Nothobranchius furzeri: one gene and its partner. The main gene of each other region encodes a partner of the protein of the gene in region 2 in a complex. Links are inferred from orthologs where the notes say so. Each region holds a gene or a part of one and is shown on either strand. Other genes may lie near its edges.

Region 1 (3,651 bases), on a different chromosome or scaffold from region 2:
GGCGTAAACCACCTGTCCTGGAGGTAGTTGCAATAATGACTCAATATAAAACACACACACACAATATACCATATGGTGCGAGTCAACACGGCTAGTTCTTATTTTCTGTCTGAGGGATCTGTCCACGAACCTCGCATCTTCTGACCAAGTGTGTGCAAGATCTCCAGAACCGACCAGTGTACGTCAAGATGAAGGTGCAACAAATGCCAAGAGGGTGGAAGAATCTGTGGGAGGAACGAGCGAGAAGTTAGAGTTCAATGACAGAAAAATCTACAGAGGCTTCGGCTTTCCTCTCATTTGATACGGTTCTCCGAGCTCTGCTACACCCCCCGCTCTTCCCACTTTAAAGCAAGCTGGTTCCTATGCAACACGCCCTCTATACACCGTCTGAGCTGGAGTCTGTTTCATGCAGGAAAAACAACATTCGGCTGTACCCTCCCATGGTTCTGTATGCAGAAGGAGCTTTGAACACTGGCAGGCAGGTCCTTGAGTCGTCCTGTGAGGAGGGTGATGCTAAACAGTTCCTCCAGAAGAGCAGAGGGGAACTGACTCTCCAGCTCCTCATAAGGGTGTGGGTGAGCTGCATCCAGAGACACTGAAGGTTCCAGAAATCTACACAGACCAGACATCCAAATAAATACAGAAATACAGAAACATCTGCAAACACACTGAAATTTTGTTGTTGATGTTGTGAACATTACATTTGTGGATACCTGTGCAAGAAGACTTTGATGTACTGCAGAAACCAAACACACTGTTGTCGAAGGTCCTCAGCCTCATAGTGAAGACTGCCTGCTTGCCCTGGGCAACAAAAACACTTTATATTAAATCCTTACAAATGAAATATTTTAGTCAATTCACGATAAATATTGAGCACCAAATAAACAAACTAGAGCCCGACCGATATATCGGCCGATATTGGGGGCATTAACAGTATCGGCTATCGGCCAAAAAGACGGCCGATATTGCGCTACCTATCCAGCAGATGGCGCCAGCTTTATGAACTCATGTTGTGTGGCTCCACTCCTTTGAACTATGAACACGAATTATTGTTTTGGAACTTTTTATTTATTTATTCTTATTTACGTTTCTTATGTGCAATTATTTCCGGTCCAGGGTGAATAACCAAGTTAACTTCCTCAGAGTGTTACTTTGTTACAAAGCACAAGTATTACGTTTTATTTATTGCTGCATTTTTATTATTTTAATATTCTTAAGGGATCTTCTGTCCCTAAACTTGTGTGTGTTGTTAGATTCCCCAGAGTTAGCCAAGTCAGAAAAAAACATTTTGTAACCAGATGTTTTAGAGGAAGAAAATATCATTTCTATAGCACCTCTCAAGATAAAAATCCTGAGGTGCTTCATAAAAATAAAAAATGTAAAAATATAAAAAATAATTTAGAAAATGGTTAAAAATATATTTCAAATGAGCAAAAAATAGACAACTGTGATTAAAAAACAAAATGTAAAGAAAGAGAGAGTAGAAAAGAGGGAAATCAGTGGATCCTGAGGAAGGTGGAATAGGTGGGGAGAGCAGAATAAAGAGAGAGTGGTGAAGAAGGTCATACAAAAGCCAGCTTGAACAAGTGAGTCTTCAGCTGCTTTTTAAAGGAGACCACTGAGTCCACTGATCTCAGGCTCAGGGGGAGAGAGTTCCAGAGTCTGGGGGCCACAGCAGCAAATGATCTGTCACCTTTGGTCTTTAGCCTGGTGCTGCACAACCAGTAGGCTTTGATCACTGGACCTCAGGGACCTGCTGGGGGTGTAGGGACTAAGAAGATCACCAATGTAAGATGGTGCTTGTCCATGTAAGGCCCTATAGACCAGAACCAGGATCTTGAAATGAACCCTGAAGTTGACTGGCAGCCAGTGAAGCTGGAGGAGAAGCGGGGTGATGTGGGTGTGTTTGGAGGACTTGGTCAGAAGCTGAGCACAGGCATTCTGAACCACCTGTAGACGGTTCAGGGAGGCTCTGCTCAGACACGTGAAAAGAGAGTTACAGTAGTCTAAGCGTGAGGAGATGAAGGTGTGGATAACTGTCTCAAGTTCAAAGCAGGACAGAATGGGACTCAGCTTAGCGATGTTCCTGAGATGGAAGAAGGAAGAGCGAACAAGAGAACTGACATGAGAATCCAGGGTGAGAGCTGGGTCAAAGGTCACGTCAAGATTCCTGACGGAAGGTTTGGTGTGGGAAGCAAGCTGACCAAGAGTCTCTGACTTTGGGAACCAGCTTGTCTGGGGCACAGATGAGGATCTCAGTCTTATCTTCATCCAGCTGAAGAAAGCTCCCAGCCATCCAGGTTTTGATAGAGTCTAAGCAGGTGTGTAACAGCTGCAGCTTAGACATCTCATGGGGCTTAAAGGAGATGTACAGTTGGATGTCATCTGCATAAAGATGGTAGGAGATTCCTTTGAAGGAGCTCAGGATGTGCTGAAGAGGAAGCAGATAGAGGAGGAAGAGCAGAGGCCCCAGCACAGAACCTTGTGGGACACCATGGGTAAGAGAGGTGGTGGAGGACCTAAACTTGGAGATGGCCACAGAAAAGGAGCGCTCAGAAAGATAAGAGGAGAACCACTCCAGAGCAGTTCCTGATAGGCCTACCCAGTCTCTCAGCCTCTCCAATAGCAGGTGATGGTCAACAGTGTCAAAGGCTGCAGTCAGGTCCAGCAGGACCAGAACAGAACAGTCCCCTGCATCACTGTGAGTCAGAAGGTCATTAGAGACCCTAAGAAGAGCTGTTTCAGTAGAATGAGCTCTACGAAAACCTGACTGTAAGCAATCATAGATGTTATGTTCATCAAGAGCAGCTGTGAGTCGTTTAGCCACAACCTTTTCCAAGATCTTGGAGATGAACAGAAGTTTAGAGATGGGTCTGAAGCTGCAATGGAGAGAGGGGTCGAGACTCGGTTTTTTAAGAAGCGGGTGGATTACAGCATTATTAAAGTAAGCAGGGACCTGACCAGAAACCAGAGAAGCATTAATTATAGAAAGCTCGCTGGGACAGATGGACTGAAAAGCACTTTTAAACAAAGATGAGGGTAAGATGTCGAGGGGGCATGCAGAGGTCTTCATAGAGTTAACTAGTTTGGTTAACTCAGGCAAAGAAACAGGAGCAAAGCTATCTAGGATGATGGGCCTGGTTGAGTCGGGAGAGGCAGCGATAAGGCTGAAGGAGAGATGCTAGATCTAACCTTATTGACTTTGTCCACAAAGAAAGACAGAAAGTTCTCACCGTCTGCAACAGAGTGGATGGAGGTTGTAGGAGAGGCAGGAGAGAGAGACGATGCTGCTGATGGTGTTAAACAGCACCTTGGGGTTCCCTTTGCTCTGGGACACCAGGTTGGAGAAATAGGAAACCCTGGCATCTCTGAATGCAGAGTTAAAGGATGTCAGAAGATCCTTTAGGTGCAGCAGATGGACGTGGAGATGGGTTTTCTTCCCCAAGCGCTCAATTTTTCTGCATTGGCGCTTTAGGCTGTGAAGGCTGTCATTAAACCAGGGAGTAGGGTTCACTGCAGGAACTGATCTGGTTCTGACAGGACAGATATTGTCCAGAATGGAGAGGCAGTGCTTGTTAAACTGAGAAGTTAAGGAATCTGGGTCGTTATCAGAAGAACAGGGTGGATCAAAAGCAGCAGAAAAATTGCTAG
Region 2 (4,184 bases):
TCTATTTTCCTTGACACACAACTTAAACCTTGTATTTCCTTGTATTGTCGAAGAAAGACTGATATGCTTGCAGGATGTTTATCACGCTGTTGCATAGTCAACATCATAACAAGAATAGGTCCCCACCTGTCGCCGTGGTAGAAGTCAGTTGTCCAGTAATCGGAAGGTTGCAGGTTCGATCCCGGCTCCGGACAGGGAATTCTGCTGTTGTGTCCTTGGGCAAGACACTTAACCCATCTTGCCTGCTGGTGGTGTTCAGAGGGACCGGTGGCGCCTGTGCTCGGCAGCCTCGCCTCTATCAGTGTGCCCCAAGGCAGCTGTGGCTACATCGTAGCTCATCACCATCAGTGTGTGAATGTGTGTGTGAATGGATGAATGATACATTGTGGTGTAAAGCGCTTTGGAGTCCTTACTCTGAAAGGCGCTACACAAGCGCGGGTCATTTATTTACCACAAAAATTGGGTCCTTTGGTGATTCACTTGCAACTTTATAAATCCAGTTTCCTCTTCTCATTTTTAATATTAATTTTCTCAGGAGGACGAAAATATAGTTTTTTAAAGCTTCATTATAATAAGTAGACTAAAATATTGAGTTCTAAACGAATGAAAATATAAAACGTGCAATTTCAGACGCGGGGGAGCAACTCCCCATCATAACTTCCAGAGAATTGTTCTAGCATTGGCCAGGAGAGGGCGCGAAATCCCCGTTCTTTCTAGGCAACAACACATGCTGAATGGCGGTAGCCTGGCCTGCCAGACTCCTCTGTACAGAGAAAGGGTCTGGGAACTCTCCTATTCAAATAACCCCACCCCGTGAGAATTCCAACCGAGCCAATCAGCATCCAGGCTAGAATAGTGGCCCTTGAGGAACCCGGGTGCAACACAACCGTGGGTTTTGAAAGCTGGAATGGTCATTTTTATTGTGTTTTTAGCTACTAAAATGAAATCACTTTTATAATGAGTTTCCCTGTTGCCAACACCAAAATTAAAAATTTAAAGAATTTAGAAAAAGTATTTCTAACTTTTGCAAATTTATAAATCCAGTTTCCTCGTCTCTTTCTACGATTCATCATTCTCCTGCTTAATATTCATATTCCCAAGAGGATGAAAAGAAATACAGTTTTTAAAAGCTTAATTAAAACAAGGAGGTGAAAATATTCTGTTCTAAATAGATGAAAAGGTCAAAATTGCAGTATCTAATTTCAGACACTGGAGGTCAGTCACTCCCCAACCGCCCTTCATCACCACAGACACTGCCACTGAGCAACACCCATTCTTATTTTGCTTTGTAGCCCTACGTAATAACTGTCAGGCGGTTAAAAGCCTAATTGCAGGGAGAAAAAATCAATTATATTTTTACAATTGTTAAATAATATCAGACTATTGAGTTGAAGGGGCGTACTTTGATTGTTGACCGGCGTTCTCATAGTTTGAACCTGGAGTTTATGCCTGACAGACATTACAGCGGGCAGATAAATATTATCGCTTCATTGAGTGACGTTTTCCTGGCGGGGCAATGCGAAACCAGAAACTTGTAAACGCGAAGCTAAACATGAGTGTTTACGCAGATGATTGATACATGTGAATGTTTTCTTATTGCATACAGTCAGAATCTGAGGCTAATTCTAAACGTAGGCAAACGTATGACGTTGCTAAACAGTTATGAGGCAAATGTCCTGTTAACCGCCAACAGGCAGAGCTAAGCTAACGTTTAGCGCGCTGTTTGTCATTCACTACCAGCTGTCAGTTAAACCAATATGAGCTCTTCACGAGAAATCAAACGTAAGTGTTGCTCTATTTACAGCTGATCTGTTGGTTCCAAAAGGCTAAGATGGTTGTTTTGACTGCTCTTCTCTGCAGAGCTGCTGAAGGCAAAAAGCAAAGCCCAGACCAGCAATCACTTAAAGGAGGAAGCCAACATCTGCAACCAGCTAGGAGAGCTGTTGTCCAGGACTGGTATGAACCTCCACAGTTTTATATTTTTTATTATTATCACAAATGTGCTACCATCGCTTTACATCTTTATGTGACACTCTCTCCCACACACTTTCTGTTGCATATTCTCTGCGCCTTTGCAGCCTTAGATTTTATTATTTATCAATTAAATTTGCTCCCTATTTGTGCTGATGCATATAAAGGTTGTTGTGTTTGATCTGTGCATACCTCAGGTGACTACAAGGCAGCCATCAGGGAACATCAACAGGAGCTAGCTCTCTCTGAGGCTCTAAAAGATGTGATCGGACGCGCTGTGGCCCATCGGAAGATAGGAGAGTGCTATGCAGAGATGGGAAACATCGAGGCTGCTTTGAAAGTAAGCAGACTTGAATGCAAAAATGTTTTTTTAATGCATACCTAAAAGGAGTGTCTTGCTTTTTTTTTTTTTTTTGGTTTCCAGCATCAGCATCATCACCTGGACCTGGCTCGCTCTGTCAGAGATCATGCTGAAGAGCAAAGAGCTCTGGCTACCATTGGTCGTACCTACCTGTTCTGTTATGAATCTGACCAATCGAAGAACAGTTTAAAGCTGGCAGAAGATGCTTTCAGGAAGAGCTTGGCCATTGTGGATGAGCGTCTAGGTGGTGTGTATCGATTGTTTGGGTAACTTGGAATAATCGCGCTCTGGTTAGGTGGTTACGTATGAAGGTTCTTTCAACGTTTAGGGATGGTGTCCGAGCGAGAGATCAGTGAGATGAAGGCTCGGCTTTTCCTCAACCTTGGTCTGGTGTGCGATCATCTAGGGGAGCCCAAACGCTGCAGCGAGTTCATCCGACGTAGCGTCTTCATTGCAGAGTAAGAAGAACATCTCAAAACGATCTCCTAATCGTGGTCATAATACGCTTTAATTCATTTGCCCTGCACAAAGTCTTATGATTTCGTCTTGGAACAGGAGGAGCCAGCTGCTAGAGGATCTCTACCGGGCCAACTTTAACTTGGGCAACATCTACTTCCGCAACGGCCAACACTCCAACTCTGTCCGCTGTTTGGAGCAGGCCAAAGAGTGTTCCCGGAAGATGAAAGACAAGTTTGCTGAGAGTGAATGCTTTCACTGCATTGGCAAGGTAGGAGTACCCTTCTACTGTTCGTCACTGCATTTTCACAGGCTCTGATGACTCAGACTCACATCCAGGTGCAGCTGTCTCTGGGGGATTTTGTAGCTGCCAGACGATCTCTAAAGAAGGCTCTACTGTTGGGTTCTCAACAACCAGCAGACAAGCAGGCAGTGAAGAAAGCTTTTAAATATGGTGAGAGGGTTTTTGTTTGTTGGTTTTTGATCGTATTTCCTCACAGATGCATTAACAACATGACGTGTGTGTAATACCGTAGCTGATCGAGGCTGTAGGTTAGAGGAAGAGCTGGGGGAAGATCAGGAGAAGAGTTTCTGCTCCCATCGGGCTGTGGAGCTGTCGGAGCAGCTAGGGGATCTTTACTGTAAGGTTGGCTGCTACAGCAAAGCTCTGGAGGCTTACCAGGCTCAGGTGAGACACCTAAGAGAAAACAAAATGCTCCATTTTAACTTTAGCTCTTGAAATTAGCTGGATTGTAATTTCTCCTGTGAATTAGCTGAAAGGTGCTGAGATGATGGCGAAACCGGCGCGGGAGCTGGCTGTGATCCACGTGTCCCTGGCTGCTACCTGCACAGACCTGAGACAACACGACAAGGCCGTGGAGCACTACAGGAAGGAGCTGGCTTTACGACAGGGCAGCTCTACAGAGGTGCACCTTCACCCCATAACACCAAGATAGATAACTTATTACTGTGGAAGAAACGACAGATTTCCTCTGTTGGACTGAATTAACTAACATATTTGCAGGCATGGTTGTTAAAAATCTACTCTTATTAAATCACAGAGCTTGTTTTAACCAACAGCTAATGCATGCGCATAACTACTGGTGTGTGTGTGTGTGTGTGCGTCAGGAGTGTAGCACATGGCTGAACATCGCAGCAGCTCAGGAGGAGAGTGGCTGCATATCTGAGGACATAGAAGGCAGCTACAGATCAGCTTCACGCTGTGCAGAGGCGTCCGGGGAGGTCCGACTGCAGGTGAGGAAATGTGACATAAAGTATTTAAATAGAAGCAGCATTTTTATCACAGCTTTACTACAGGTCTATGTAAAAGTTCATCTTACGTCCCACAGAAACGCACGCTGAGACTCTGGCTGGCCTTCCAAAGACGGAGCGGCTC

The links. The genes of interacting proteins can lie anywhere in the genome.
Region 1: tonsl (region 2) and mms22l share a complex: the UniProt entries of both Homo sapiens proteins name them as parts of the MMS22L-TONSL complex. The link is inferred for Nothobranchius furzeri from reciprocal best matches to the Homo sapiens genes TONSL and MMS22L.

Annotation. Positions count from the first base shown.
Region 1 is NC_091745.1:51,994,640-51,998,290, forward strand, and holds part of mms22l (protein MMS22-like), read right to left. Parts: intron 802-3,651; coding exon 714-801; intron 613-713; coding exon 435-612; intron 225-434; coding exon 131-224; intron 18-130; coding exon 1-17. UniProt on the Homo sapiens protein: Component of the MMS22L-TONSL complex, a complex that promotes homologous recombination-mediated repair of double-strand breaks (DSBs) at stalled or collapsed replication forks.
Region 2 is NC_091758.1:29,051,007-29,055,190, reverse strand, and holds the start of tonsl (tonsoku-like protein), read left to right. Parts: upstream 1-1,320; 5' UTR 1,321-1,757; coding exon 1,758-1,782; intron 1,783-1,860; coding exon 1,861-1,956; intron 1,957-2,168; coding exon 2,169-2,311; intron 2,312-2,395; coding exon 2,396-2,579; intron 2,580-2,660; coding exon 2,661-2,790; intron 2,791-2,887; coding exon 2,888-3,059; intron 3,060-3,127; coding exon 3,128-3,242; intron 3,243-3,324; coding exon 3,325-3,476; intron 3,477-3,561; coding exon 3,562-3,714; intron 3,715-3,916; coding exon 3,917-4,042; intron 4,043-4,137; coding exon 4,138-4,184. UniProt on the Homo sapiens protein: Component of the MMS22L-TONSL complex, a complex that promotes homologous recombination-mediated repair of double-strand breaks (DSBs) at stalled or collapsed replication forks.